3 linked regions of the Diceros bicornis minor genome follow. The main gene of each other region encodes a partner of the protein of the gene in region 3 in a complex. Links are inferred from orthologs where the notes say so. Each region holds a gene or a part of one and is shown on either strand. Other genes may lie near its edges. The genes, in order: KSR1, KSR2 and MAP2K1.

Region 1 (10,902 bases), on a different chromosome or scaffold from region 3:
GGTAGGCTTGCCAGGCATGAGGACTGCCAATTTGAGGTTTGTGGTCATGAATTTAAAGAGCAACCCATCAACAGGGCTGTGTGCTTTTCTGCAGCATCATTCAGCTGCTCTGGCACAGGCCTGGAGAAGGTGGCGGGGGGGGGGGGGGTGGGCGTGGTTTAGGAGGGCTGGGACTTAGCCTGGTCCACATTGTAGAAAGAGAGGGGCAAGTTTATTGAGGGGGTTAGCTAGGGAGCGATAGTCATGGTGGGGCATGGAATCCACATGGGCTAAGGAGGGAAGGGAGGCCATGAGCGGGTGACAGTGGAAAAGGTGATAATGAAAATGGATGGGAGGCTTTGATGAAGCATTAGGGTGGAGAGGAAGCTGGGGCCCACAACAGAAGAACTGAAGTGATTGGGAGATTGGTGCAAGAAAGCACAAGATGCGGGAGCACATGGCATACCCTGATGGCTTCTGTTGTGGCAAGGATTTGAGAGTGGAGGAGGTTAAATGGTTTAGGAGAGGTAACTGGGAACAAAGAGTGTACCCACATCACCTCCCGGCTTTCCCTGGACCAGTTTCTCCATGCATCGCCCAGAGTAGTTCTCTCCTGCCAGGTTGCCTATAAAGCCCATGACAACTTGGATGTCTTCTGTTTCAGGGCCGAGAAGACCTTTTTTCAAATTGGCTCCTTCTTGCTACCTGACCCAGAGCTGGTTCTGACCACACTGCATGGGTGGTGGTGATATCTTGTAGGATGAGCACCAAAGGCCACCAGGGGTCAGCATCCCTAGAGAGAGGCCCTGGTTTCTCCGTCTGTAAAATGCGACTCATCATTTGTTTATTCAAACACCGTGTGCCGTGTGCCCCGCCTGTCTACTTTATTTCCTTTACCCCTCTCGGCCACCCTGGAGGGGGAGATTGTTATACTCATTTTTACAGATGAGGAAATAGAAGCTCAGTGAGGCGAAAAACTTTTGCAAGGTCATACGGAGTCTAATTGAGTCCAATGAGGCTCACTACCCCGTCAGGGAAACAGGCAGGGAAAGAACCAGAAATGTGTGATGTGTGCAGAGTTCTGGAGGAACATGGAAGCCAGAAAGATTGATTCTGTTGTGGGAGAGGGGGTGGGGGCATATGAGCTAGATCTATGAGATGAGTAGAAATGTATGTGGGGGAGACGGAGAGGAGGGACTGTGAGCAGAAGTGACAGCCTGAGCAAAGGCACGATGACGTGACACTGCCTGGTATGACCCAAGGTTGTTGAGTAAAGGCAGTGAGGACCCACGGTTAAGCGGGCTTCCTAACCTTGTCTACGGCCCTGGGGTTCATGGGTACCCTGAAGGGGGCCCACAAACTTCCTGAAGTTGTATCCCAATTGTGAGCATGTGTGTGTTATTCTTTTCTAGAGAAAGGCTTTCTATTTTCATCAGATTCTTAAACTGGGATAACGACTCAAAAATCCTTGGGTAGTAGATTGGTTTGGAGGGGTGGGCAGAGCCTGGGAATGAAGGGCCTTGTAGGCCTTGTTCAGGAATTCAGACTTCACTCTGAGGTCAACAGGGAACCATGGGGTTTTCTAGCTGGGGGAGCAACATGGGATGGGCCTTAGGAAGCCAACACAGATTGCTGTGACCTCAAATCAAAGGAAAGTCCTTTTATCGACTATAAAGTGATGGACCATTTACTGCTCTATCCCAGAGTCTAGCACAGTGCTAAGCACATACTGGGGGCTCAGTAAATACTTGCTGAATGAATGAAGGAATAAATTAATGAATGAGCACAGGTGTATGTAATAATAATAGAGTTCATTATGACTCCACGAATTTCCTGGGTGATTTAACTGAAGGTGAAATCCAGGAAACCAAAGCTCCCCCTGCACTGCCTTAGGTTCCAACAAAAACCTGCTGAGTCCTGAGATAATGCTGGGGATGGAGGTGGGGATGGGGGGGAGAGTGGATTTGGCACCTGAGGGTGGGGCCACCCCTGACTGCAGGGTAGGGCTCCTCCCGCAGTGCCCTGCCGTAACTTTGGAGGAGTGGATGCTATCTGGCCAGGATGGCCAAAGTCATTTCTTTCCTCCTTCCACATTCAACCCATCGGCTTGTCCTGTTGACTCTGTCTCCAAAACGTGTCCTCCATCCCCTCTATTTCCTCCATCTCCTCCACTCCTGATCCTTGCCTGGGCTACCGCCTCAGTCTCAAAACCAGTGCCCACGCTTCTGCCTCGGCCTCTCTACCATCCAGTCTCCACATGGTGGGCAGAGGGATCTTTCAAAACTTCCCTTACAAGGAATGTGTCTTTCTTTCCACGTACTCAGAGAGCTATGCTTCTAAAACTGTAACATACGTTCAACTCATATGGGGATCTTGCTAAAATCTGGGTCGTGATTCAGTTGATCTGGGGTGGGGTTCGAGACTCTGCATTTCTAACAAGCTCCAAGGTGATGCAGTCATCTTGGACCACATCTAGCGTAACAAAGACTTAGAGAAAAATCCAAACTTCCTGCCCATGTCTTACTTTATCTGGCCACTGCCCAGCAATCTCACACCATGTCCAATCCCTGTTCTCTCTCATCATGCTGTAGCCAGCCACACTGGCCTTCATTCTGTTCCTGGAGTGTGCCAAGTTGTTCCTGCCTCAGCGCCTTTGCACATGGTGTTCCCGTCACCTAGAATGCCCCTTTCTGGAGCTCTATGGGGCTTGCTCTTTACTTTATTTAGATCTTAGTTCAATGATCAATCAGAGAGTACTTCTCTGACTACTTCATCTAAGGAGGCACCTCATCCCCTGGGGACTTGCTATCAGCTATTTGATTTTTTTCCCTTCTCAGTACCTATCATTCTCTGAATTTATTTCGGTGATAATATTTGTTGACTTGTTAGTTTCCTGTCTCCACTCACCTATGTTCCGTATGACCAAGGACTTGGTTTCCTTCATTCTGGGCTATCCCAGAGCCAGGCACATGATAGGAACCCTGTTCATGTCTTTTGAGTCTATACATGAGCATGTTTGCCTGGCTGCTGTGGTGTGGAGATGCACATGGGGGCGTCCAAGCTGGGAAGACTCAGAGTGACACTAACGGAGGTGTCTGAGGCAGAGGGGGAGGAGGGAATGAGCAAACTTTCCATACTAAGGATGCCACAGAAAAAGTCTCAAGAACCTGAGAAGTTGAAACTAAGAATCAACACACGATAGATGAATTCATCTAACCAGAAGAGATTCATGCTGGAAGATGGCGAAGGAAAGTGACTACCATTAGTTAAATGAGTTAAATAAGGCATCAGAGCAGAGCCTGGCACATAATATTTATCAAATAAATAAAAATAAATATGTTGACCCCTTACTTGGTGACTATCACTTTGCATAATGATCTCCATTCATCCTCACAACACATAATCTCCATCTTGCAAATGAGGAGAGGGGCTATCAGATTAGGAGACTTGCTCAAGGTCAGCCAGTGATTCAGAGGTAGACTGAGAACCCCACTCACTAAAACAGCTCTACTGAAAGTTGCAAACGCTGCTCTCCCTGCTTTCTGTTGCGCCATAGCACCTGTCACCACCTAATATACCGAGCAGTTCACTTATTTGTTTATTGTCCGTCTTCTCTCACCAGAATATAAATTCCCGAGGGTAAGGATCTTTGTTTTGTTCACTCCTGTTTCCCAGAGCCCAGAACAGGGTCTGCACATAAGTAGGCATGATGAATAATTATTGAATGCTAAAAGGATGAATGAAGGAACTATTTAAAAATCCTTGCTTTCTGTATCTCTAGGAGGCAGTTCTGTAAATGTGTGACTGACAGCACACCCAAACCCAGTCAAGAAGGCTGGAGTGCATCTGAGATGAACTGGCAAGCAAGGCTGAGGCTTTCTGGATGCTTTCAACAAATCAGAAGGAAGACTGTGTCCACAGAAGAGGGACTGGCCACACGGAGCCCGGTGGGAGAGTAGTCAGGGAGCTGGTTTGTCCAATCTCCAGCCCCGACACCACTGCCGTGGTGGCATGGGTAGGTATGGATGCCACTGGCTGGCAATGGCGCTTCTCAGGATATGGCTTTCCATATAAAGTGGCCCTGGGGAATAACGTGTCGACCAGGCCCCAGTGGCAATTACAAGCTTACCGTAAATGCATAAATAGGCACTTATCAGGAAATCTCTTGTGAATTGAATTAGAGTGAGTCAGTGGCTCAAGCCTGGCAGCTCTGGCTGCTGAGCAAATGGAGGTTCTGAACCAGCCAGGCTGCGCTGTGGACGTTCTGAGACAGAGTTCTCCTGGCCACTGACCTTCCTCTGTACCAAAGCTTCTCAAAGTTCCGCCTCCAGACCAGCTGCATCAGCATCACCAGAGAACTTGTTAGAAATGCAAATTCTCCAGCCCCATCCTTAACCTCCTGAATGGGAAACTCTGTGGGTGGGGTCCACCACTCTGTATTAACAAGCCCTCCAGGACATTCTGATCCAACCTCAAGTCTGAGACACAGTTTCTGTCTCAGGGCAATTATTATTGTGCTGCAGGGTGAGGAGGAGAGTCGGGGCAGGGGGTTAAGGTAACAGTCAGGTTGGGGGACATCATGGAGACAGTGCAGGGAGTCTTTTTATACAGGAAGTGAGGATTGAAGCAGTGACTGTTAGTGGGAAGGGTCAGCAGTTGGGGAGGACGTCCCTGCGTTTCAGAAAATCTCCAGAGGAGGGGTTAGTTTGCAAAAGTACTTTTTAAAGTTATCATAATTTTGTTTTTTAGACCTCATATTTAATTTATTTTGAAATTTCAAACCACAGCAAAGGAAGGTGTTATATAAACTGCCACCCAGTACTGACCGTATGTATAGCTCAGGCAGGAAAACAACGCTTGGACTCCACCTCCTGCCCAATCCTCGTTCTCAAAACAAAGTATACAGTGTGTATATATAGGGGGGTGGGGGGGGTGGAGTGGGGAGGGAGATAACCTACTAAGTGCCTAGGCCTGAGCTGGCCTGAGAGACAGGAGAGAACTCGGCATAGGACCTTGCTACAAGAACTCAAGAAACGGGTTGCACAACATTATGGAGCCCCTACTGTGTGCCACGCACCGTATTTGGCTCTGGGAAGAGGATACAAAGATAAGTTAGCCAGCCACTTCTGCAGCCAAGGAGCTTACAAGAGAAAATTCGGAGGAGAGAGATTTCTTCTGGTCAGCAGATGCTGGAAGTACAGATGTGTGAGAACTTTGACGAGGGTCTTGGCTTCTCCGTTTAACCAGATAATAGAGCCCTTGTGAACTGGGAGGAGGTGAGAGGGGAAGGTGGGAGGATGGGTTGGGGCTTGAATTCTGAGTTAGGAGGCACAGAAAGGTGCAGACAAATAGAGGACTACCAGTCCAGTAGCAGCACTGTGCCCATGCCCACTGCTTGGTCTGGGGCCATGTTTAGGAGATCTGAGGTTAGATAGTGACAATTGCTAACATTCATCCAGTGACTCTACGTGCCAATAGTCAACCTAGGTGCTGGGCGTACATTAACTCATTCTTCATATGAACCCTATGAGATAGGTATTATTATCACTCCTACTGATGGGGAAACTCAGACTCCCCCTTCTGGGAACCCAACAACGCTTTTGGCTGGTTCTGCCAAGTCCTTTACTACTGCACTTCCCAGCTATAATTTGAGAGATGAGGGCCCGCATATCTTACTTCTTCTTTGTACTGGAGGCTGTCTCCACTAGAACCCCTTAAATAGTGTCATCTTCCCACCAAAGGCTTCCTTCCCCAGCAAAATCCTTCCTACGCCAAAATCCAATGTTGGGGGGTGGAGGGGTGGGGTGGGGGGAGTCGGCGGGTAACTACATTTTGAGTAGCGAAACCCCCGTGGCAGTGCGAAAGGAAAGCACCGAATGCCTGACCTGAACAGCAAAAATGCAGTTTCACCAAACACTTTTTGAAAAGCGGCAGAGGGAACCTGAAGGAGGTCACACAGCTAGGCAGCGGTCGAGTCTGAGTTTGAACCCAGGCCATCTGCTTTAGTGGGCTCCCAAGCGCACGACAAATCAATGTGCAGCCTCAAGCGTCTGGGCCGACCTGCTGGGTCGGTGGAGGGATGGGACGCTTATTTTGGTGGGTAAAGAGGGTCCAGAAGAAAGCCCTGATGTCTTTCTCCATGCCTGAGCATTCCCTTTGGGGTAGACAATCGAGACAGTTCACAGCGCTTTGTGAACCAGCTACAGGACAAGTACTTTAGGCCCCTTCCCACTAGATGGCGGCCCCTAAACCCACAAAGAAATTCGGGAGCCTCCACTGTCCCCATCTTCCAGGGTTCGGCTGCGGGTGAGGAAGGGCAAAATGAGCACCCTCCACCGCTCTGGGGAGCCGCGGACGCTGCCCCGCCCCATCCGGAGGTCGCGGGAAACCCCAGGCTGGGGCGGGGGAGAGGGAAATGAGGCTCCTCAGACTCTGGGCGCCCGGGGGAGGAGCCGGCGCGGAGCAGCGACTCCCGGGGGGCAGAGGCGGGGCGATCCTGCACCGCCCGCACCCGCCGTGGAGCGGCAGGCCCGGACTGCGGGGCGCCGGGCGCGGGGCGCGGGCCGGGCAGCAGGTGCGCGGCACGGACTACAAGTCCCAGCATGCCCAGCTGCCCTGACCCGGCCCCCGCGGCCACTTAAAGGCTCCGGGAGCCGCAGCCGTCGGGTCGTCGCGGCTTTCGCTTTGCCGCCGCGGCTGGGCGGCAGCGGCGGGCTCGCGGCCGGCTCTCCTTGCGTCCCGGCTCCGGCAGCGCCGCGGTGCGCTCCTGGTCCAGCCCTCCCGGCTCGGGGCTTCGCTTCCGAGGCGCCCGCGCCCCCGGGCTCCCCGCCTCGGCCACCCCGCGGCCCCGATGCCGAGGCATGGATAGAGCGGCGCTGCGCGCGGCGGCGATGGGGGAGAAGAAGGAGGGCGGCTGCGGGGGGCACGCGGCGGCCGCGGATGGGGGCGCCGGGGCCGCGGCCAGCCGGGCGCTGCAGCAGTGCGGGCAGCTCCAGAAGCTCATCGACATCTCCATCGGCAGCCTGCGCGGGCTGCGCACCAAGTGCGCCGTGTCCAACGACCTCACCCAGCAGGAGATCCGCACCCTGGAGGTAAGGGGGCCGCGGCGCGGGAGAATCGGGGACCCGCGTTGGGCGGGAGAAGGCAGGGGTCGGCGGCCGGGGAAGCGGCCCCCAACACCTCCCTTGCTGCGCCGTTTCACTCATTCCCCAATTGCATCCTTGAGCCCAGGTCGCCCCCTTTGAGGCTTCCTCTCCCTCCTCCACTCGCTGATGCGGCAGCTTGAGGACCCAGGACCAGCCCCTCACCTTGGGCCGGATTTGGGGGGAAGGGCGGAGTGGGAATTGGGATGGAGGCTCGAGGAGCCCGTGGGAGGGGCGGGCTGCGCGCGGACATTCCCTGCCTCCCCACCCGCCCCCACCCCATTCCTGCTTGCGGGGCCGCAGGACTCATTCTCCCACTGAGTCACACGCTGGACGCTTCCCTGTGTGACTGAGCCGAGCAGCCGTGGGCCGGGGTGACGGGCGAGGGGATGTCCCCCTGAAGTGTGAGCGCAGGCCCGCGGTTCTCTGTCTTCCCCTCACGCCCCAGACCCCGTCTCATGCCTTCCTTTCCTCTACTCCAGGTTCTCTTCTGCCGCTTTTCAAAAAGTGTTTGCTGAGACTGCATTTTTGCTGTTCAGGCATTCGGTGCTTTCCTTTCGCACTGCCACGGGCGTTTCACTGCTCAAAATGTAGTTACCCACCGACTCCCCCCACCCCACCCCCCAACATTGGATTTTGGCGTAGGAAGGATTATGTTGGGGAAGGAAGCCTTTGGTGGGAAGATGACACTATTTAAGGGGTTCTGGTGGAGACAGCCTCTAGTACAAAGAAGAAATTAAGATATGCGGGCCCTCATCTCTCAAATTATAGCTGGGAAGTGCAGTAGTAAAGGATTTGGCAGAACCAGCCGAAAGCGTTGTTGGGTTCCCGGAAGGGGGAGTCTCCCCCTCCCCCATACACAATAGAGGGAAACTAGTGCATTCCTAACTTGCTTTTGTCTAGAGACTGGGAAGGCTGTGAAATTCCAGCGACCAGTTAATAGCTACTCTGTCAGAAGAAGGGGCCTCTTTCCACCTTACATTGCCACATCTGGCCTTCTGCAGATCTGGGATGTTTTGTTTTATTAGAACCTTAATTTCTCATTCAAACACCCCCCCCCCCCCCCCCCCCCCCCGTTGCTAATTGCCTGTGGCAGCTGTCATAGGGCCAGCCGGTGGTTTGTGGTAATTATTACAAGATCCAATCCTCTGTGTGCACCACAAGCCTGAATCCCTGTTTGATCCAAAATGCTCACGGGTGACTTCTCCTTCAGTTTTATTTTCTTGAAAGCTACGAACCCAGGGACATTGGAAGCATGCAATCAGTGCTGTCTATTATTTTTGTTACAGTTGCTATAGCAGTACTGACCAGGGCTTTGCTTCAAAAACAAACCAATCAACAAAACCCTCCACAACTGTCCCTTCTGCATGCATGCTGCTGTTTTCCAAGTGGTAAAGGAAACTGGTTTCTCGAACACAGCCAAGTGTATTTGCCCAGCAAAGCTCAGTTTTTAAACCGACACAATAGGGGGCCTGTGTGGCCTAGTTCTGGGAGGAGGGTCGTTGTCCGGCAGCATGTGTCTGGTTGGACTCTTGTGTTGTTGGGATGAGAGAAGGTTCTCCGTTGATCTCTCTCCACTGGTCCCCATGTCGCTCTGAAGTGCTCCCAGTTTCCAGAGTGTATACAGGAGAACTACTTGCTGAATTCCCAAGTCCCTCATTTTGACGAAGGTATGGCATCATGATACCCCAAAGCGTCCAGCTATTTAGGTCTCTGAGCTGCTTTATTCAGTGGTCCCCCCCGAGTGTTTATTTGATGATTGGCTCTGGCAGCTGGAAACCCACCCAAAGGCCAAGGGGATTTATCAGTGTTAACAGGAACCAGTACCTCACCCCCTGTCCTCTCCACTATGACGTGGATTCGAGTCCACCTACTCCCTGAAAAGGCGGGACTTGGGTTGTTTCTAGGGAAGGGAATTTAGGCCTCTGGAGCTAGTTCCCTGGGCCACCACCAGCTAGTTTGGAAGAATCACTTTATCCCGGGGGCCTCAGTCTCCCCACCTGAAGAAGGAGGTTGGAGTGGATCTCTGCGGGCTCGTGCGGCTCTAAATTCTGTGGCTTAGTGAAGGGGTCTCAGTTGGGTTGAATCAGACGTTTGCTATATGTACTCCTGTTTAAGAATGGTTCTAAAATCCAGATTTACCAAATGATAAAATAGGGGGGAAGTGTATAACTCAAAGAATCCTGACGAGAGGGGCAGGGGCAGTGTGGCAGACGGAAAGCCCATGGCTTTGAATTCGGGTCTGGGTTCTGTCTGAGTGACCTTGAGCAAGTCCCATGACTTCTGATTCTTAGGCTTCTCATCTGTAAAATGGGCACGAGACCACTTAAACCTGCAATGTTGTTGTGAATCCGTGAGTCTGCACTCTTACTCCTAAGAGATTTTGCGTATAAACTATCCCTAGTGAGGGTGTAATGACATTCCCACCACAGACCACCGTTAGGGGAGGTACTTCTATAGCTGGCTCTTATTTACTAGAGGCGGGTGACACAGGCCAGGAAACTGTCCCAGCAGCATGTGGTGAGCTCAGGCGGGGCAGGGCGATGTCCACTCTGGCTTTCTTTCCTGTTCTGCAGGCTCTTCTCACATACCAGGCCAGGGCCCCCAGAGACAGTGCTTGCAACACTGGATTCCTGGCCTTTGAAGAAGGGTCCAACCAGAGGGCCTGGCTTACGCAACAGTGCCAGACTTCTCCCAGGATGTTAGGAAGCTCAGTCCACTCTGGCCCTTATTAAATAAGCAGTCAGTGCAAGAAGCAACACGTGACATGCCTCTGGAAGTCCCTGACTGGGCCCAGCTGCTGGTGCCTGAGATTCCAGGTTGTGATGGGGTGTGGGGTCCTCATGTCTGGCTGCCCTGTGATGGCTTTTCTGTGTGTAGTGGTCCAGTTTGTATCCAAAAGAGTGAAAGGAGCCAAGATTTAGTGTCTGCCTCCTACCTGCCAGCCAGTGTGCTGGACCCTTCTCAGTCTCCTAAGATTTCCTGGAAATCCACCAATCTTCGTCACACTTCCATTTTTTCTCTCTGTGTGGGAAGGGAGGAAGACGAAATCTGAACCCAGAGTCTGAATCTGTAAAGAGAAGTTGTGAGGCTACTTCATCCTGGCAGAACCTGCTGTCCTGTCTCCATCAGACCCTCCTAGGGGTCTGAGAACTCCACTGAGGCAAGATAGAATGTTCTCATCCCCCCGATGTGCTCCCTTGGGACACCTGGCTAGAGCCTCACACCAGTTCATTCCCTCATTTATTCATCCTCAGTGAGCCGAGTCTGTGCTGGGCACTGGGGAGACAGTGGTGCCTCGTGAAGATTCACGTTTTGTGAACATTGTAGCTTTGCCCTTTCCCGCCAGCCTTTTAGTGCTTTCCAGAGACAAGCGTGGCCACACCGTCTCCCCACCTTGTGCTCTTTCAGAGAAAAGTCCCTGCTAAGCAAGCTGACCTGGAGAAAGGGGTCCCCGAAGGACCTTGCCAGGCCTTGCTGGGGAGGGGACATTGGGAAGCTGTGTAGGTACAGCCACTTCACTGAGAAGTTGCCCTGGAGCCAGGAGGTGCCTGGGGGAGGCCCTGCTGCTACTCAGAAAATGAGGGAGGCTTGCCCTTCTCCCACCTTGGCTGGGGCAGAGGTCCCTGCTGTGTGCAGGACCTGAGCTCTCCCCGTCGTCGCCCGTGCCACCCTCCCTCCCCCACCCACCCCCATGCTGGGAAAGGAGAAGGGTGCCATACATCCTCACAGATCAGGTCCTTGGAGAGTGCATGGACATGTATTCAGTCAACAAACCTTC
Region 2 (10,354 bases), on a different chromosome or scaffold from region 3:
TAATGAAAACATTCTGGAACTAGGTAGTGGTGATGGTTGCACAACATTGTGAATGTACTAAATGTCACTAGTGGTAAATTTTATGTTATGTATATTTGACCACAATAAAAACAAACCAAAAGAACCAGAACTTCAACCAGGCTGCCTCGGAGGGATGCCATGAATGTTGTTCATAAGGTGCCCACATTAGGGGGGCAAGTCTGAAATCCAGACTGTACTCTGTCCCCCCAGGTGTGTACCTTTGCAGAGCAGCTGCCTTTTTCTGACTCACGCAAAGACACCATTTGGGCTAATGCAGAACTTCATAGAAAAGATGGCGGAAGAAGTACGCTAGTTTGGTGGATGGCATCACTTTACTGCAATTTTCAACACCACTCCTCCACGGCACATCTCCAAGTACTTGGAGAGTGCCACAGTACGCATCCTCTCCCCTCCTGAGGGTGCTGTATCTGAAAACTCACAGTGCATCGCTGAGTGCTTAATTTGTAAAGCCAACATAAATGACTGGACTAGACTGTCCATTACCGTGAGCTCAAATTATCTCGCCATCAAGAGAATGAGCTGGTTGCTTTGCTCACACTGGAAAACTAAGAGACAAAGAGGCAAGAGGCCAAAAGGAGAACTCTAGAGAAAGTCAGTTTTCAGATGTTGGAAAAACTTCACAAGGTTAAAGAGAGGGACATTTTGCCTGCACTCACTGAAGGTATTTTTAAAAAGCCATTTATGTTTTGGGGATCAATGAGTTAGAACAGAACAATAATAACCATCTTGCAGCGATGATTTTTTGGGTGTATCCCGGGGACTAGCATTCTGAGATTTTTTTCTTCTCCTTGAAGAATCAATAGAAAAAAGGAGAAAAGAAAAAAGAAATGCCCTGGGAGGGCAGTATGTTGAGCCCTTCAAGGAGAAGTCAGTGTTAGTTTTGTTCAGTTCCAGGGGCATCGGCCACCCCTTTACCTCCCAATCTGCCATTTCCCAACTTGGGTCCCTGTTCACAACGCAACTTAGAAACTATTGGGGCCAGCTCATCACTAATACAACAGGATGTAGAATGAGACTTTTCCTGTTGACCCAGAACTTCAGCTAAAGCTTCAAAGGTGAGGGCAGTGGGTAACAATACTTCCTCCTTCTGTTAAGAGGTGGCCAGACTGGTCCTTTGAGTATCAATAACCATCAACCTCCAGCCTATACAAGACAAGGTCAAGATTTTATCTGACAGGCCTTTGTAGGGAGCTTTTCTTCTCCCTTTACAACCCCAAGCCAAGAGAGGAGAGTTCAAAGAAGAATCGCTTTTGAGACTGGGAGCACCAGTGGGGGGTGGCTGGCATCTCCCCCAACCGGCTGAAGGCTGCCTGGGGCTGCCCATGATGGCAGTGAGGAGAGACGGCAGCAGGGCAAAGGTGCAACCTGTTTCCCACGGGCCAGGGAGTACGCACTTAGGCTTGAGTCATCCTGAAAAGACTCACCCAAGAGGGGAGCCTGCCAGGCAAGGGGAAAAGAATGTGGGGTGTGTCCTGGGGTATGAATGGAAAAGAGGTGTGCAAGAGGTCAGCTGACGCGTGCAATGAGTCCCCACGGGGGTCTCCAAAGATCCCCCAGTGTGTCTCATGTAAAAGCCAGCATGTGAGTGCTTGCCAGGACATGTGGGGACATCTGACACTCGAGAGAGTACTATACCTGTACTCACCTGTTCTCAGCTCAGGGTCCCTTTTCCACTCCTCTCTCTGCTCCAGGTGAGCTGGAGAGGAGGCAGGAAAGGACACACCTGCCCTTGTCTCCACTGCAGATTCATTAGCCATCCGTGGGTCCAACTCGAGGGGGTGGGGAAGAAGGTATTAAACTGGATATGAGAATGAAGTTTTGATTGGACTAGACTGGACTTCTAATACCTGAATATGAGACTGTTCTTAGAGTTGAAACTAAAAGCTATGGGATCTAATGAGATATTGCCAAGTTCAGCTCACTCAGTAGCCCAATGACAATGATTTATTTCTGCCATGGATAAAGCCACTCTGAGACACGCATCATTCAGAGGTCATATGCAGTTTCTGGGATGAAATAAAACAATAAAAACAACAACACAATTCTCATCAGTTAGCTCCTGTTCTCCAAGCTTGAAATTGGGGAGGTTCTTATTGGTCTGAGGTGCAAACCACCTTAAGCTATACCAGGAGGAGCAACACAAATGCCTACAGGGGCCAGGCAGGAAACAAATAATGAATGAAGGGGGCTGGGTGGGGACTGTGGTGAACTGGAGAGCCTGTGTCCCATCTGGAAGGGACAGGTGCCTCATATCTAGCCAATAGTTGCCCAACGTGGCCAGATCTTCCCATTTTCCCAGAAAGGCCAGAAATCTCCATTTTTTGTAGTATTTCCTGATTTTGGAATTATTGGCAAGAATATTAGTCAGGGTTCTTTGTTGCAAACGACACAATCTACTCCAGGTCGTTTAAGCAGAATTGCTTTAATAGGGCGGTACTATGGACTGAATTGTGTGCCCCCAAATTCATATGTTGAAGCCCTAACCCCCCATATATCTTTACAGTCTTTAGGAGGTAATTAAGGTTAGATGAAGTCAAAAGGGTGAGGCCTTAATCAAATAGGGCTGTGGCCTCATAAGAAGAGGAAGCCATATGAGTCACGTCTGCCATGTGAGGATACAGCGGGAAGGCGCCATCTGCAATCCAGGAAGAGAGCTCTCACCAGACCCCAAACATGCCAGCACCCTGATCTCAGACTTCCAGCCTCCACAACTGTGGGAAAATAAGTTTCTGTTGTTTAAGCCACTCATCTATGGTATTTTGTTATGGCAGCCTGGGCAGACTAAGACAGGTGGTTAGAAAGCCTATAGAATTTCCAGGAGGACAAGAGAGCCAGGCTCGGACTGTGCAGCCAGGACTAATGTGAAACCACACTGTGGGGCTGCCCCTATGAACACCACGCCATGCCTCTCAGCACAGACATGAAGCTTACACAGGGGCAGGACACCTGGAAACAGGTGCATTGGCTGCTATGCTCACTAGCAGATAGATTCCTCCCCTTTGTTTCTCACTTTCCAGCAGAAATCTCATGTGATGTGTCAAATGGTAGAGCTTAGATCTCATGAGACATGGTTGCAAGGAAGGTGCTGGAAAAGTGCTTCAGTTTCTCTTATGGAGAGGTGGAACTCATAATGTGGGATATTTTCCAAACATAGAAGGATATTCAAAGGAGGCTAGGTGGATGCAAAGTATAACAAATGTCCACTACAGCAATCAATTGAAAAAAGGGGAGGGGTCAAACAGACGCATTTGTGTGGTGCTTATAGCTCTGCCAGTTGATGACTTCTGACCTCTGGGCTATTTTCACTGTTTAAACTTCCACTTCCTTTGAAAACAACTAGAAAAGTCAGATCAAATCATCATCATCATTTCATCATCATGTGCTTAATGACATTCAGAGAGCTGCTGAAGCAACCAGGACCGAAGGGGCCAGGATTCTGGAGAGAGGGGAACCGTGTTGAGGCGAGCTGACAGTCTGCAGCCACTGTTTCCCTGGGGACGTTTGCAAATTTGGGCAGATGGAATCTAGACTTTTCCCAGCTAAGGGGGCTGCTGCTGGGGGACAGAGAAACCAGCAGAACTTTTGGCACTCTCACAGGGTTGGAGACACAATCGGGGACTTGAGAGGCTAATATCCCAGAGAGAAGGGAGGGGCAGAAAAGTGAGCTTGATGGATGGCAGTCTTCCCCTTAAAGCATTTGGCAAATTCCGAAACAGTGCAGGCCAAGAGGCTAAGAAGCCAACCAGAAAGCCCCTGAAAAACAGAGCAGTTTTCAGCAGTCTTGCCAAGTTATGGAGACAAAGATGAGTGCTCAGGACAAGAGGGGAGGGGCTTTGGTGAACACCCCAAGTTCTCATTTGGAATCCCTGAAAGGCAAAGCCTTAGGAATGGGGGTCAAAGTTAGATGGTGTCTTATCAGACCTGTAACCCAGTCTCCACTCAGCTCAGCCTCTGATAGAATCAAGATGATCAGTCCCCACACCATCTGTCCTGCAAAGAAAGGGTGAGCCCTCTCCAGAGCTGGATAACATCACCTGGAGACTCTGTATTTTTTCATACACAATGCCTGGCATTCAACAATTACAAGACCTGCCAAGAGACAGGACCACATCACTGAAAACACAGAGAAAAACAGTCAATGGAAACAGACCCCACGGGTGACCGAGGTATCAGAATTAGACAAAGGCTTTAAAATAACCATGATTAATATGTTCAAGAAAAACAAAGCAAAAGATGGAGAAAATAGATGAAAAGAGAATTTTACCAGAGAATTGAAATCCATAAACTTCATAGTCCAAAAGCGTGAGAACATAGAGAACTCTCCTGAGCTCCTCATGACAGAGAGATTTTGAAAATGCTGATTCAGCTCTGTATGAGCAAAAAAAACCCATGGCCCACAGTCTTAAAAAAAGTTTGCCTTTGGGGCCGGCCCTGTGGCTTAGCGGTTGAGTGCGCGCACTCCGCGACTGGGGGCCCAGGTTCGGATCCGGGTGCGCAGGGACGCACTGCTTCTCTGGCTATGCTGAGGCCACATCCCACATACAGCAACTAGAAGGATGTGCAACTATGACATACAACTATCTACTGGGGCTTTGGGAAAAAAACAAAAAGAGGAGGATTGGCAATAGATGTTAGCTCAGAGCCGGTCTTCCTCAGCAAAAAGAGAAAGATTAGCACGGATGTTAGCTCAGGGCTGATCTTCCTCACAAAAAAAAAAAAAAGAGTTTGCCTTCACTGGCTGTCATTCTCCATACCTCTCAAGTGGCTTCCTTTTAAGGGGCACATATTGTACCATGTGTTCTGAGTCTACTCTGCCCTGTAAGCCCAGTTCCCTGGCATGGAGCTCTGGTCACCAGGAGAAAGAGATGTCTCTTGCTAACAATCCTCAATACATCCTTTGGGCAATGTGTGTTGAGAGTACCATTAATTGAGGTGGTCAGAGATGAAGCCTCTCTGAGATGACATTTGAGTTGACCCTGAGTGACAAGGAGCCAACCAGGAGAGCTAGGGGGAAATGTGGTCCAGGCAGAGTGGATATAGAGTGCAAAGAACTCCAAGGCAAGGATATGTTTGGTGATTTAATCAGGGGTTGGCAAACTTATCTGTAATGGGCCAGATTAGTGAATATTTTAGGCATTGCAAGTCATACAGTGTCTGTTGCAACTACTCAATTCTGGTGTTATAATGCAAAGTAACCACAGACAATAAATGAAAGGGTGGCAGTGTTCCAATAAAACTTATTTATGGACACTGAAATGTGAATTCTTTATAATTTTCACGTGTCAGAAAATACTCTTCTTTTGATTTTTTTCCAATCATTTTAAAATGTAAAAAGCATTTTTAGCCCTGAGGCCATAGTTTGCTAATATAAGGTCGGTTAGGTAGGCTGGGATCAGATCTTTCAGGGCATGTCGGACACAATAACAGTCAGATTAAGGCAAAGCCCCTTTCCCCCTCCAAATGGACAGCCACCGGCAGGGTAACTGCAGGCCAGGGCACCAATGCTGCGAGGCCGCTTCCCACAGCTCATGGAAGATCATCAGGTATGTTTTATTTTCCACCAGTAACAAGAAAGGACAAATGAACGAAAAGACAGACACGCACATCGAGCCAGAAAGCCAGAGAGGACGTGCCCAGGTTCACGCTGATGTTTCTCCCGCACGCACTACGGGTTTTAAAGTTGGGCGCACACCTGCTCCCAGCCAGAGCGCACCTGCTGAGCAGTACTTGGCCTCGTCTCGCGAGAGCGCTGCTGTAGTAGTGGCCCCCACCCCCATCCCGCCACCAAATCCCTCTCCCCGCCTCCTCGCCCAGCCTCCGCGCTCTGGCACCCTCCCCGCCACCTCCACCGCCCCGGAGCAGCCTCGGCCGCCGCGCGCGCTTCCCCCACGCCCCCGCCCGCCCGTCGCTCGCTCGCACGCACGCCCGCTAGTAATTTCACTTTGCCACGCGAGCTCCGTATCCCGAGAAATCCCGCCCCCCGCTCCCCCTGGCCCCGCCGGGAGCCGGCCCTTTCCCCGGCCAGGTGCGCGAGCCTGCGCGCTCCTCCCCCGCCTCCTCCGGCGGGTCCCTGGCGCGCCGGGGCCGGGGCCCGGCTGGGGCGGATGCGCGCACGGCGCCTCTCCACCAACCCGCTCCCCTGCAGGTCCCTCGCTCGCTCGCTCGCCATCCCTCGCCGGCGCTCCCTCGCTCCCCCCACCCCCCCTTGATTGACAGGCAAGATGTCGGTGTGGAGCGAGGCAGGAGCGAGTGCAGCAGCCGTCACCCCCGGAGCCCGGCGGCGGCAGCAGCAGCAGCAGCAGCAGCAGCGCGAGGAGGAGACAGCAGCCAGCCGCAGTCGCCGCCGCAGCCGCGGGAGCAATGCAGACAGCATCTTGAGAACGCGCTAAAGCCCCCAAACGCTGGACAATGCCGTGTCACTGCAACTGGGAGGGGGGCAAAGCAGAATTTTTTTGACATAAAAGCAAGCCAGCCAAAAATATATAATTTTGTCCTTCACGGAGCCGGTGTGTAAAGAGTGAGCGCTGTTTTCCTTCTCCCCCTCCTCTTCCTCCTCCCCTTCTCCCTCCCCCCACTCCTCCTCTTTTTCCTCCTCCTCCTCCCTAAGTGTACAGACAGCATCACATCACCTGGTTTGCTTCTGAGAAACAGCATCTCTCCTTTTCAAGGACCAGAGACTCAGAGAGAGGAGACATTCTAATGGAGTCTGCTTGATACCCCAAAATAAAATAATAAATTTTGGCTCCTGTCCCCTCCTCCCACCCCCACCCCCTCAACCCCGTGTGAGATGTTGGGTTTCTTCTTCATGAGACATTGTTGAGAAGTCGCAGTGGTTGGAGAGGCGGCGGGGGTAGACTACCTCCCCCCCCCCCTTTTTTCTCTCTGGGAGGAGGAGGAGGGGAAGGGGGCTTGCAGAGCAAGCGATGGATGAGGAAAACATGACGAAAAGCGAGGAGCAGCAGCCTCTGAGTTTGCAAAAAGCCTTACAGCAGTGCGAGTTGGTCCAAAACATGATAGACCTGAGCATCTCCAACCTGGAAGGGCTTAGGACCAAATGTGCTACCTCCAACGACCTCACACAAAAAGAAATCCGGACCCTGGAGGTAGGTGCTGCCTACGGGGGAAAAAGCAATCCTTGCTTCCCTCCGCTGTCTCCCCGCCGTCCCCTTTCCTTTAATTCTGTTTGTATGGGGGGTGGGGGGGGGTGGCAAGGTGGGCACGATGTGGTTTTCTGTGATTTATCTTGCAAAGCCTGCACTGGGTGGCCCTTTACTGTACTGCTGTCGTCTACGCTTGGCTGGGTGGTGGTAGTAGTAGTAGTAATTGTTATTCTTTATTATTATTCTTGCGGCTGTTATTATCATTTGCTTCTTCTCTAAGGAGTGAGTTCTCTCTTTTTTCCGCTCGTGGATTTGTTTATATGCCATGGGGGCTCGTGTGCCGGGTAAGACATTAAGGCGCTGCAGAGAACCCACAGAAAACCACGTGACCTTGCGCATTCTGCAGGTGGTCAAAAGGTGGTTTTGCTCGCAGAATGGGGCTGCCTATAAATACAGACCTCTTCTTCTCTCGGCCTGCTTCCCAGCGCCCCTTTTGCTCCTTGGATTTTGTGGTTTTTCCAGTGATGTATGTATGTCAGGAGGCAAGATGCATGAAAAAAAAATCCCCATTGAGCTACTCATTTCCAATCAAATCATTTGGATGCAGGGAGATGTTGCAGGCCTAAAACGCGTAAAAAGCTTAAAAAAAAAATAATTCCTGGAACAGCACACACAAGTGGTGTGGGAAAATACTCTTGAATCTCGGTGGGACCGGGAGGAAAGGGGTGGGAGGAGGAGTTATCGTTGGTTTGTTGTAACATTCTCTCCAACAGAACTTCAGGGGGAGTTTGAAGCAGTTTTGTGGGGGTGGGATGGATGCAAAGTTACTCAGAAAGAAGATGGCAGAAATTATTTCTTCCAAAAGCTATTTGGTCAAAGGCGGAAGGTTTCAAGAGCCTTAGAAAATGCCTGTGTCCATGTTATCATTGGGCATCCACGATGCTTGCAACATCTGAAGGGTTCCACTCACTTTTCTCTCTCAAACCGGCCCAGCCGTACACATGGCTTGATTAAATTTGGGAACTCCCATTAGCTGGCATTTGCTGAGAGTGGTGGCAATGGGGCTGGGAGCAAAGAACAGAGGTTCTGCCTGTGGTGGAGTGGGCATGTGCAATGCTGGCAGGTTCCTTCTATTTCCAAGGCCTGAACTCTTCAATCCTTACAGCATCTTTTAACCCTGGTGCCCCTGTTCTAGCCTGGATGAGCACCTCTCTCTGATTCACTGTCTTTCTTTTTCCTCTATGGTTTTAAATTTGGCTAGATGTCAGCCCGCAGGAAGGTCATCAGTTTGAAAGTGGAGTTTGTGTGTGTGTGTGTGAGTGTTGAATATGCTGTTTGCTACCCTCGAATGTGTGTCTAGGTGCACCTGTCATCTGGGAGAATGATTCTCAGAAATGAAATAAGATGAATGTCAAAGGGTGTTAGAGGAGTGGGAATTCTGTTGGGAGGCACAGGTCTTTTCTTTCTCAGAGGTTGGGGAGAGCAGTCTAGTCTAGGACTCTGCTGCTGGAAGAAAAATGTGGGATGCCCTGGGCCAGCCTCCTGTCTGAGCAGTGACCAAGATAAAATTCTGTTCAGAACTGCGTGCAGTAAGTAAATAAGTAACCCCAAAGAGCCACATGGGGTCTCTTCTGGTCCTCTGAGTCAGGAGTCCCAAATGCTAGTTTGCGTACGGCTGTGTAAGTTTCTCAAGTTTTCTTTGCCTCTTCAACGTGCTCCATCCTCTGATAACACCTTGGAGAATGGTGGTTGTCACAGTGGGCTCTGGATTCTGTGGCTTCTTTTCTGCCTAGTGGTTTTCTTTTTAAACTGGAGGTTGGAGGCATTGGTAGGGTGGGAGGTTGACGCTATTGAGAATGCATCTGTTTGTTTGTTTCCTAGTCCTAATATGCCACAGAGCATGCCAAGCACTTTATCCATATTGCCCAGGGAGAGCCTCGAGCAGTCATGCAAATTTAGGCTTCCCAGGTCTGTAGGGGTAGGGTGGGGCCACCGAGGAGGGGCTGGTGACTTGGGGTCCAGCCAAACCTCACGTAGGCTTTGGATCCACAGGATTTTTTATCCCAGAGGTTGTCAAATTTTGCATATCAAAACCAGCCAGGAGAGCTTATTAAAAATGCACATTCTCGGCCTCTAACGCCAGAGGTTCTAATTCAGTTGGGATTGGATGGGGGCCCAGGAATCTGCGTTTAATAAACAGTCAAGGTGTTTCTGATGCGTGTTTTCATATTGACACTTTGAGAAATACTAATCTATTAGGAGATGGATGGCATGGTTCAGCTATTTGATGGTGACGACTCTCTGCTCACAAATGCTAAAGAAAGTAGTAAATTGAACAGACCATCCCTAAAAACCTTGATAGTAAGCAAAATTTAGTATCATGCATATATGCCTGTAGAAACAAGAATATACATCATGGACTTAGCCTTCAAGAAACATACTTCGTGGTTAGGGAGACAAAGCTAATAATATATATGTGTGAAATAATGAGAAAGTCCAAACAGTGAATAACATGGGAGACAGCACAGTCCAAACAGTGTGGGGCCATTAGGAATGTGTTCAGCTGCGTGAAATGGTAAATCCATCCACAGTGGTTAAGCAAATAGTGGTTTCTTTTTCTCATGTAGCAAGAGGTCTGGAGGTATTTAGCTGCTGAGTTGGCTCAGTAAGTTAATAATATCAGGGCTGATGTCTTTGCGAATTCTGATGGCCTCTTCCTTGTGGTTGCAAGATGGCTCCTGAACCTTTCACCATTACACCCAGGTTCAGGGCAGGAAGGAGGGGCCCAGGTGAGTGTGAAGGAATAAAGGGTTCCTATCTTTGTTTGGCTTCTCCTCCTTCTCCCTACCCCACAGATGATGTTTAGTTATGTCTTCTTGGCCGGAACTGGGTCAGATGGCTCATCCAAGCTGCAAGGCTGGGAGGTGGCGAAGTGGGAACACCATCGTGATTGGTTTACGTGGGTCATGATCCATCGCCTGGGTTGACCTGTTGCCACTCCATACGCAATCAGGGTTCTGCTGGCCTGGAAGAAGGCATGAAGGGATATTGGGTGGACACCCGCATGTTGGCCACAGTATGTTATCAGGAAATATGTTGGCAGAGAAGAACAATCATGAGCTTTGGAGTTACACCGATGTAGTTTTGAATTCTAGCTTTTCTGCTTACTTCATCTTGGGCTAGTGACTTAAATTTTCTGACCCATGGTTTAA
Region 3 (10,153 bases):
ACCCCTGGTCCCTAGTAACCACCACTCTACTCTCTGTTTCTCTGAGTTTGGCTTTTTTAATAATTTTTATTTATTTATTTTTTTCCCCAAAGCCCCAGTAGATAGTTGTATGTCATAGCTGCACATCCTTCTAGTTGCTGTATGTGGGACGTGGCCTCAGCATGGCCGGAGAAGCAGTGCGTCCGTGCGCGCCCGGGATTCGAACCCGGGCTGCCAGCAGCGGAGCGCACGCAGTTAACCACTAAGCCACGGGGCCGGCCCGAGTTTGGCTTTTTTAGATTCCACATGTAAGTAATATCATACAGTATTCGTCTTTCTCTGATTTATCTCACTTAGCACAATGCCCTCAAGGTCTGCCGTGTTGTTGCAAATAGCAGGATTTCCTTCTTTCTTGTGGCTAAATAGTATTCTATTGTTATTCTTTATCCATTCATCTTCTTTATCCATTCATCCATTCACAGACACTTAGGTTGTTTCTACATCTTGGCTATTGCAAATAATGATGCAATGAACATAGGAGTGCAGATATCTCTAGGAGATCCTAACCTCAATTCTTTTGGATATATACCCAGAAGTGAGATTTCTGGATCATATGGGTAGTTCTATTTTTAATTTCTATTTATTTGAGGAACCTTCATACTGTTTTCCATAGTGGCTGTATCAATCTGCATTCCCACCGAGTATTCCCACCAGTATACAAGGGTTCTCTTTTCTCCACACCTTGCCAACACTTGTTATCTCTTGTCTTTTTGTGATAACAGCCATTCTAACAGGTGTGAGAGGATATCTCATTGTGATTTTGATTTGCATTTCCCTGATGATTAGTGATGTCAAGTGAATTTCTTTTTCTTTTCTCTGGTAATTGTTTTATTGAAGGGTAACATACAACCAGAAAATCATAAACGGAACACACTTGTGTAACCTGCACCCAGATCAAGAAAGCAAACACTACCAGTACCCTAAAAGCCCCCTTCAACTCACCTTCCTATTACATTCCTCCTCAAGGATAACTACTACCCCAATTTCTACCACCATAGATGAGGTTTACCAGCTTTGAACTTTATATATAAAGTAGTATTACTTTCTTTCTTTCTTTCTTTTTTTGGTGAAGAAGATTAGCCCTGAGCTAACATATGTTGCCAATCCTCCCCTTTTTGCCGAGGAAGATCGGCCCTGGGCTAACATCTGTACCCATCTTCCTCTACTTTATATGTGGGACACTGCCACAGCATGGCTTGATAGGTGGTGCATAAGTCTGTGCCCAGGATCCAAATCTGCAAACCCTGGGCTGCTGAAGCAGAGTGTATGAACTTAACCGCTATGCCACCAGGCTGGCCCCATGGTGAACATATATATTGATTTCTGTAGGTTTGTGCCTAGGGGTAGAATCTCTGGGTCATAGGGCAGATGTAAATTAAACTTAATAGATACTGCCAAACATCTTTTCAAACTGGTTGCGCAAATTTATATTCCTACCATCAGTGCAAGAGAGTCTTGTCCTAGTTGCTCCACATCTTATCAACATTTTCTGTTATGTATCCTTTTCAATTTAGCCAGAATAGTGGGTGTAGTATCATAGCAGTCTTTTTTAATTGTGGTAAAATATACATAAAATTTACCATTTTGACCATTTTTTTTTTTTTTTTTTGTGAGGAGATCAGCCCTGAGCTAACATCCGCCAATCCTCCTCTTTTTTTGCTGAGGAAGACGGCCCTGGGCTAACATCCATGCCCATCTTCCTCCACTTTATATGGGACGCCGCCATAGCATGGCTTACCAAGCAGTACTTCGGTGCGCGCCCGGGATCCGAACCAGCGAACCCCGGGCCGCCGCAGCGGAGCGCGCGCACTTAACCACTTGCGCCACCGGGCCGGCCCCTTGACCATTTTTAAGTATACAATTTAGTGGCGTTGAGTACTCATATTATAGTTTTTTTTTTTTTTTTTGTGAGGGAGATCAGCCCTGAGCTAACATCCATGCTAATCCTCCTCTTTTTGCTGAGGAAGACCGGCTCTGAGCTAACATCTATTGCCAATCCTCCTCCTTTTTTTTTTCCCCAAAGCCCCAGTAGATAGTTGTATGTCATAGTTGCACATCCTTCTAGTGGCTGTATGTGGGACTCGGCCTCAGCATGGCCAGAGAAGCAGTGCGTCAGTGCGCACCGGGGATCTGAACCCCGGGCTGCCAGTAGTGGAGCGCGAGCACATAACCGCTAAGCCACAGGGCCGGCCCTCATATTATAGTTTTAATTTGCACTTTCCTGATAACTAAAGAAGTTCAGCATCTTTTCATGATTATTGACCATTTGGATATCTTCTTTTATTAAGTGCCTTGTCAAATCTTTTGCCCATAATTCTATTGGATTGTCTGTCTTTTTTTTTTGTTAATGTGTAGGAGTTCTTTATATATTATGGATACGAGTTCTTTTTCCAATATATCCATTGCAAATCTCTTCTCTCTTTTTACCCTTTTTGAAGCTCAAGCAGTGGAGCGCACGCACTTAACCGTTAAGCCACGAGGCCGGCCCTCCAATATTTTCTTCTAAAAGTTTTATTTAGTTCTATAATCCATCTAGAGTTGATTTGTTATGTATGGTGTGATGTAGGGGTCAAGACATTTTTTTCCATATGGATAGTCAACTGACCCAGCACCATTTATTTAAAAGACCAGAGCCAGCCCTGTGGCTTAGCAGTTAAGTGTGCGCGCTCCGCTACTGGCAGCCCTGGTTCGGATCCCGGGCGCGCACCGATGCATCGCTTCTCCCGCCATGCTGAGGCCACATCCCACATACAGCAACTAGAAGGATGTTCAACTATGACGTACAACTATCTACTGGGGCTTTGGGGAAAAAAAAAAGGAGGAGGATTGGCAGTAGATGTTAGTTCAGAGCTGGTCTTCCTCAGCAAAAAGAGGAGGATTAGCATGGATGTTAGCTCAGGGCTGATCTTCCTCACAAAACAAAAATAAATAAATAAAAAAATAAAAGACCAGCCTTTCTCCCACTGTACTGTATTGTCAACTTTGTGATAAATCAGGTGATCAAATACATATGGGTTTGTTTCCAGACTCTTTATTCTACTCCATTGGTCTAGTTGTCTATTCTTGTGCCAGTGACATACTGTCTTAAACACCCAATCTTAGATAGATCTGATATCTGGTAGTGTAAATACTCCAGCTTTGTTCTTCAAGATTATCTTGGCTATTCCAGTTTTCCCCTGAATTTCTTTGTTGATATTGTTGTTTTAATAATGGCTTTTTTGCTGTTAGCGCCTTTGAGTGGATTCTGACTCCTAGCGACCCCACGTACTGCACAACAGAACACTGCTCCATCATTTTGCATTATCCTCTCACTCCTGGCACTATATCCAACAATGCTGCTATTCATAGAGTTTTCATGGCCGATTTTTTTGGAAGTGGGTGGCCAGGGCCTTTTTCCTATCTGTCTAGTCTGGAAGCTCTGCTGAAACCTGTCCATCATGGGTGATCCTGCTATTATTTGAAATACTAGTGGCATAGCTTTCAGCATCACAGCAACACACAAGCACTACAGTATGACAATTAAGAGATGGGTGGTGGTTTCCCTGACCTGGAAACGAATCCAGGCCGAGGTGGTGAGAGGATGGACTCTTAACAGCTAGACCATCAGGGATGGTAAATAACAGCTTTATGAAAAGACAATTCACATATCATACAATTCATCCATTTAAAGTGTAAAATTCAATGGTTTTAATAAATTCACAGAGATATGCAATTATCATCACTGTCAATTTTAAGACATTTTCATCACCTCATTAAGAAATCCCTACCCTTTAGCTATCATCCTACTATCCCTTGTTTACCTGCCCCCACCAAGCCCTAAGCAATGTCTAAGCTACTTTCTATCTCTATAGATTTGTCTATTCTGGACATTTCATATAAATGAAATCATACAACACATGGTCTTTTCTGACTGGCTTCTTTCACTTAGCATAATGTTTTCAGGTTCCTCCATGCTGTAGCATAGATCAACTCTTCATTCCTTTTTATGGCTAATATTCCATTGTATGGATATGCCACATTTTGTTTATTGATTCATCAGTTTATGGACATTTGGGTTGTTTCCCCTTTTCGGCTATTATGAATAATGCTGCCATAAACATTTGTGTGCAAGTTTTTGTATGGATATATGTTTTTCATTTCTCTTGAGTATATAGTTAGGAGTGGAATTGCTGGGTCATATGGTAATTATATTCAACTGTTTGAGGAACTGCCTGACTGTTTTCTAAAGTGTCTGCACTATTTTACATTCCCATGTTAATATTTTTAAAAGTTTTTTTTGTTTTTAATTGAATAGGTCATATATATAATAAAAAATTCAAACAGCACCAAAGGCTACAAAACTCCCTCTATATATTGCAAACAGTGGCTGACACCCTGCTCTGGACCACCAGAAGCACATGCTTCCTTTGTTCTGCACACCTAATGCCTTTAAGACTGAATACTGTAGGAAGGGCAAAGGAGAAGAGGACTGAATGTGCATTTTTGAATAGGTATCGTCCCTCTTTTATTAAACTCTTTAGTCATATCTTCTTCGAGTTTTATAGAACTGGAATAATTGGTTGAAAGGTTTTTTTTAAGGCTTTAAAAAATATTACCAATCTGCTCTGAAGAAAGGTTGCCCCAATTTACAGTCTCATCAGCACTGAGTCCCATCTCCTTGTACCCTCGTTAGTAGAGTAGCAGTGTATATTACCATTTTATACATATTTGCCAGTTTGTTAGGCGCAAGGAGTCTCTTCACAAATTTTCTATTCCCCCACGCTGCCTATCCGCTAGAAACGAGAAACGGTCCTTTTCCTTATTCATTTTATTATTTCATCTCCGTCAACGTGACTCCGCCGGAGAGGCTAGCTTCGGGAACCAGCACGCGCGACCTCCTTTCCCGGTGGGTCCACCGGGTGGCTCCGGTCACCAGAGGGCGCTGTGGACCCAGCGCCGGACCCCGCCCCCAGGACGGCGCGCCGCGCCCCCGTGACGTACTTCCGCGTTATCCGCCGCCGAGGCGTGCTCCCATTGGCTGTCGGCGAGGCAATGGGGGGGGCGGTGCCGAGTGGGTGTGTGGAAAACGCCGCAGCCCGGTAGGGGGCGAGGCTTCCCCTTTGCCCGCCCCTCCCCCGCCCTCACCCCTCCCCCGCCCTCCAGTCCCGCCCTGGGACGGCTGCGCGGAGCGGTGGGAGCGCGGCGACGGCGGCGCTTTCCCGGGCGGTAGCTGGAGTGGGGCTCTGGTCCGCGCGGCGGGGCCGCTCGAGCCCGGGGCACCGATTGACTGAGGGAGGGAGGGAATCCCGGCCGCTTCCGGGCACTCGGCGCCGACGGGACCGCGAGGGGCGCGCCCACCGAAGGCAGCCCCGGGCCCGCGGCCCCGACTTGGCCCGCGCGGCGGGCGCGGGGCAGCTTAGAGGGAGGAAGCAAGAGGGGCCGCCCTCCCCTCGGAGTTGGAAGCGCCTTCCCCGGGTCCAAAATGCCCAAGAAGAAGCCGACGCCCATCCAGCTGAACCCGGCGCCCGACGGCTCGGCCGTTAACGGGACCAGCTCGGCGGAGTAAGTCTGGGTGGGCGGCGAGCTCCGGGGCCGGGCTGGGGAGGCCGCGCCGGGCGCGGGAGCCGGGCCGGGTGTGCGCGCGGGCTCCGCTCGGGTTGGTCACGTAGGTCGCGGGCGGGCGAGGAACTCCCGGCCGCCGAGGTATCGGTGACTAAGCACTGATTATGCTCCTGACTCAGACCGGTCAGTGGACTCGACGAGTCTCGATCTTTCCTCCCCTTTCCCGACCTTTTCAGTCATTCCTGGCCACTCCCTATCTCCCCTCAAAATAAAAACTGGTTCATCCCCCGCCCCTCCCCAGCTGTTTCCCGGCTCCTCTGGGATTCTGGCCTGACCGGGGAGAAGGGAACAAAGGTCTTGGAAAAAATTAAGATCACGTCTGCGTCTTTGAGACCGGCTCAGGGTGTGGAGTGTGGAGTTGAGACTGGCGAGCCGCATCCTCACCTGGCTGCCCGACACCTGTGGGCGGGCAGTGCCTCCTTGCGGCCGCTGCCCGCCCAGCGGGGGCGTGTGTAGGCCGACTTCCCCGGGGTTTTCCATTGCCGACTTTGGGGGCTCCCGGTCCTTGGCCTTCTTCCTGGAAACTGTCTTGACTCGGAGGAAGCGGCTTTCCCCCTTTTTTTTTTATAATTTTATTTATTTATTTTTTTTCCACCAAAGCCCCAGTAGATAGTTGTATGTCATAGCTGCGTATCCTTCTAGTTGCTGTATGTGTGACATGGCCTCGACATGGCCTCAGCATGGCCCGAGAAGCGGTGCCGTGGGTGCGCACCCCGGATCCGAACGCCTGCTGCCAGCAGCGGAATGCCTGCGCTCAACCGCTATGCCATAGGCTGGCCCTAGCCTTCCCTTTCTTGATCTGACTCTTCATTCATTCATTCAGCAAACCACTCCTCACCCATGACTCCCCTGACTTTCCTTAGTTGGCTGTGAGCCCTAAAAACTCCTGGCCTGAGACAAGAACACCATGGCCGTGGAAACCACATGCAAGTTGCTCCATCTCTGCAGCTTCCAGTGTTGCTAACAGTCCAGCACTTTATTTAAACAATCAGATAACGATGAGGCTGTTTCATGGGTGTTTCTGAGCTCCCACAACTCTTTTGTGTCCTGGGTAAGGGACAAGACTGTGTGAGGGAGAGAGACCCAGCTAGCTGGAGAAATAACCAGAAAAGATTTGGTTCTTAATCTTTTATCTGCACACTGGAGACTTTAGGAAGCCAGCTGATGAAATGAATAGAGTGGGTCTGGACCTTCTCCCCTTTGGTGATTTCTGTAACCTTCCTTTCTCTCTAGATTTTAATAGCCCGGTGACCTTTGACTTGGTGACTCTGTCCATGCCTGTAATGATCACAAGGCTGGTGGTGGACCTGTGGTGTGAGCTCAACCAGGTTCCTCAGACCTGCTCCCAACAAACCCCTTTCAGTACTGTCGTGTCTATTTTGCATAATATTGACTTATACAGGTCAGTAGATTGCTTTGCAAACATTCAGTTTTAGTGTACAGAATTTTATCCCCTTAAACAAGACCGAAAGCCTTCCAGTGCAGGGCAGGACAGGACAAGTTTTGACCACAGTGGATTCTAGCTGAATGTTGTGGCCTGATCATCCTGCTCCTATTTGATTTGGAGGAAGGTACTGAGTAGAAGTACCTGTTGTCATTCTGTTATTAATTGTGATGCCACAGCTGTATGCTTGCAAAGGAGGGGAAATTTCCCGTAAAGAAAGCAATGTTGGGAGGAAGAGAAGAAACTACCCTGCAGTTGGCAGAAAAATTTGGGTGGGACTGGGAGATTCTAATCAGTGGTTAAGAGGTTGGACTCTGGAGTCAGGCTAAGTTTGAAGTGTGGCTCTGTTACTTTTGGTTTTGTGATCTGGGACAAGTCTCTTGATCTGTCTAAGGCTTAGGTTCAGTTTTTTCATCTGCGAAAATGGGGCTAATGATAGAACCTACTTACAGTAGTTGTGAAGATTAAATGAGTGAGTACATAGTAAACCTTCCATAAATGTTAGCTGCTGGTATCTTAGGTACTGGGTAAATGTTGATAAGGCTGAAGGAAACTGGAAGGTAATTTCCGTTGGTGGTGGTAGATTTGTGTGTTAAGGTGCCTTTGCTTCTGGATAAACGACTCTCCCTCGCTTAGTTTTCTGTGCCATCTGCATCTACCTCCGTGACTCATTGCTGTGTTACAATAGGAGGCATCTTTGTGTAGGCTGCCTGAGACAAACAGGGACTGTTCCCCTACATTATCTGGCACTAATGGGGGGCAAGCTATACACATCTTCATTTTTCACCTTTGTGTTTCTCAAGCAAAGCTGCTGTTCTCATGATTTCTGTGATTAGACCATGGCACAATTCTGAATGTTATCATACAATGTAAACTAAAGAAGAAAAAAAATCCATTGACAGTAAAGAACTCGGTACTAAATTGGCAAGGTTGCTTCTCCTCTGAGGCTCCCTGGCATCTTGGGATTTACCTCTGCCGTAGCACGTACTCCATTCAGACGGAGCTGGGTTATATGGGACCTGAAGTTTATGCAAGTTCTGGGGTCCTTGGAGAACAAGAATGCAAAAATACTTCTTTTGCAAGTTTTGCAAAAATGTATGAGCATATTGCAAGGGTGCGAAGTGTTAGAATGTAATAAATTGGAAATAAGATCATATCATTCCCCCACTTAAAATGTTTTCATGGTTCCATTGCAGTTAGAATAAAATCCAAGCTCCTTATATTGGGCTGTGAGACTGAGTAATCTGCCTGTTGTGGCCCCCACCCCCATCTCTTTCACCACATTTCCTGCTGCTCCTTTCTCCCACCACACTGGTCCTCTTTCACTTCCTCCATGGGATGGTCCATACTCCTTCCAGGCTCTTGCACATGCTGTTCCCTTTGCCTGGAATGAATCATCGTTTCCTCTTCCCAAGCTAGGAAGGAAGCAATCTTCCCTCCTCTTAAATGTCATTTCCTTAGAGATGCTCACAGACCACCTAATCTAAAGTAGGTCCCTCTTTTTCATGTCATCTGATTTTTTAATGACACTCATTCACTGTCTATAGTTTTTTACTAGGGTATTTTAAATATCTGTCTCTTCTGTATACCATGAACTATAAGCATAGGGCTACCTTTTTTTGATTCATTGCTCTGTAAGTAGTACCAAGAATACAGTATCTGGCACACAAGTGCACAAATGTTTGTTGAGTGAATCAGTGAGTGAATGCAATTTCTAATATTTGCACAATGTGTTTAACAAACCTTTTTATACCTTTTCATTTTTCTTTAATTTTCCCCTTTACTCTCATTCCCTTCTCCCCATTTCCTTTTCTTTCACAGGCACCCAGTCACCCACTCTAGGGTATTTAATATACAGTCTTATAATTCCACCCATTTGTTGGGTATATGTGTACCTTTGGGAGGTGGATAGTATTGTTTTGTGTGTTTCTGTGCTTAGAGTGCTCAATGTTATTGTGCTCTTATTCAGCCTTAAAAAAGAAGGAGATCTGCCATTTGCAACAACATGGATGGACCTGGAGGACATTATGCTAAGTAAAATAAGCCAGACACAGAAAGAAAAGTACTGCATGATCTCACTTACATGTGGAATCTAAAAAAGTGAATACATAGAAGCAGAGAGTAGATAGGTGGTGACCAGAGGGTGGGGAGGTGGGGTAAAGGGGGAGATGCTAGTCAAAGGTACAGAGCTGCAGTTATGTAGGATGAATAAGTCTAGAGATCTAATGTACAGCAAGATGATGATAGTTAACAATACTATACTGAATACTGGAATTTCGCTAAGATAGATTTCAAGTGCTCTCATCACACACACAAAAAATAGTAACTATTTGAGGAGATGGAGATGTTAATTTAATTAGCTTGACTAAATAAATTTGTAGTAATCACTTCATCATGTATATGTATATCAGGTCATTATGTTGTACACCTTAAATACATTCAGTTTTTATTAAAAATGCGATTGTGCTATAAATCTGCATCAGTTGGGATAGACTAGGTTATGTTGAGGTAATGAACAACCGCTATATCTCAGTAGTTTAACACACTTGCAGGTCAGTGGGAGGCTCTGTGGATTGGATTCCATCAGAAATCCCGGCTGATGGAGGCACACATGTCACTTTTGCCCCCATTTCGTTGGCCAAAGCAAATCACATGGCCATGCTGACCCTCAGAGGGAGGCCTTCTTGGAAGGAGGAGAACCAGGAATCTTTGAACAGAAGCAATGACCACTCCAAACTTATTTCAGTTTATCTTTTTTTTTTTTTAACTAAATACCATGTTTCTGAGCTCTATTCATATGCTATATGTGTATCTAGTTCATTATTTCTCTTGGTTGCAGAGCAGTCAGTCACGTGCTTATACCACATTTCACTTATTCTTCCCTTAGAATTAGACAACTCTTGTTTCTGACCCTTTGCTGCCCCAGTGCAGCCGTGACCATTCTTGTACACGGCTCCCTTGGGACCCTTGTGCGAGTTCCCTGTGGAATGTACTCAGAAGTGGGATTGCTGGCTCTTAGGTACCTTGCCTCCTTCCAAGATGAGGCACATACTTAATCTCATTCTTTGT

The links.
Region 1: the proteins of MAP2K1 (region 3) and KSR1 are in contact, whole or in part, in a crystal structure (PDB 9AXH), measured with the Homo sapiens proteins. The link is inferred for Diceros bicornis minor from reciprocal best matches to the Homo sapiens genes MAP2K1 and KSR1. Residues at the interface, in NP_002746.1 of Homo sapiens: Asp217, Ala220, Asn221, Ser222, Phe223, Val224, Gly225, Thr226, Arg227, Ser228, Met230, Arg234, Leu235, Gln236, Gly237, Met308, Ala309, Ile310, Phe311, Leu314, Asp315, Val318, Asn319; in XP_011523731.1 of Homo sapiens: Asn767, Gln768, Leu769, Lys770, Leu771, Ser772, His773, Leu776, Val784, Arg785, Met787, Thr788, Pro789, Asn823, Gln824, Ala825, Ala826, Glu827, Ala828, Ser829, Ile830, Trp831, Gln832, Gly834, Ser835.
Region 2: the proteins of MAP2K1 (region 3) and KSR2 are in contact, whole or in part, in a crystal structure (PDB 7UMB), measured with the Homo sapiens proteins. The link is inferred for Diceros bicornis minor from reciprocal best matches to the Homo sapiens genes MAP2K1 and KSR2. Residues at the interface, in NP_002746.1 of Homo sapiens: Val81, Glu102, Met219, Ala220, Asn221, Ser222, Phe223, Val224, Gly225, Thr226, Arg227, Ser228, Met230, Arg234, Leu235, Gln236, Gly237, Met308, Ala309, Ile310, Phe311, Glu312, Leu314, Asp315, Val318, Asn319; in NP_775869.4 of Homo sapiens: Lys674, Arg818, Asp820, Lys821, Leu822, Arg823, Ile824, Gln825, Asn826, Ile837, Arg838, Gln839, Leu840, Ser841, Pro842, Gln877, Pro878, Ala879, Glu880, Ala881, Ile883, Trp884, Gln885, Gly887, Thr888, Met890.

What each region holds. Positions count from the first base shown.
Region 1 is NC_080757.1:20,098,018-20,108,919, reverse strand, and holds the start of KSR1 (kinase suppressor of Ras 1), read left to right. Parts: upstream 1-6,707; 5' UTR 6,708-6,839; coding exon 6,840-7,070; intron 7,071-10,902.
Region 2 is NC_080774.1:14,999,773-15,010,126, reverse strand, and holds the start of KSR2 (kinase suppressor of Ras 2), read left to right. Parts: upstream 1-5,924; 5' UTR 5,925-6,965; coding exon 6,966-7,145; intron 7,146-10,354. UniProt on the Homo sapiens protein: Location-regulated scaffold connecting MEK to RAF. Has very low protein kinase activity and can phosphorylate MAP2K1 at several Ser and Thr residues with very low efficiency (in vitro).
Region 3 is NC_080744.1:60,564,580-60,574,732, forward strand, and holds the start of MAP2K1 (dual specificity mitogen-activated protein kinase kinase 1), read left to right. Parts: upstream 1-5,210; 5' UTR 5,211-5,500; coding exon 5,501-5,580; intron 5,581-10,153. UniProt on the Homo sapiens protein: Dual specificity protein kinase which acts as an essential component of the MAP kinase signal transduction pathway.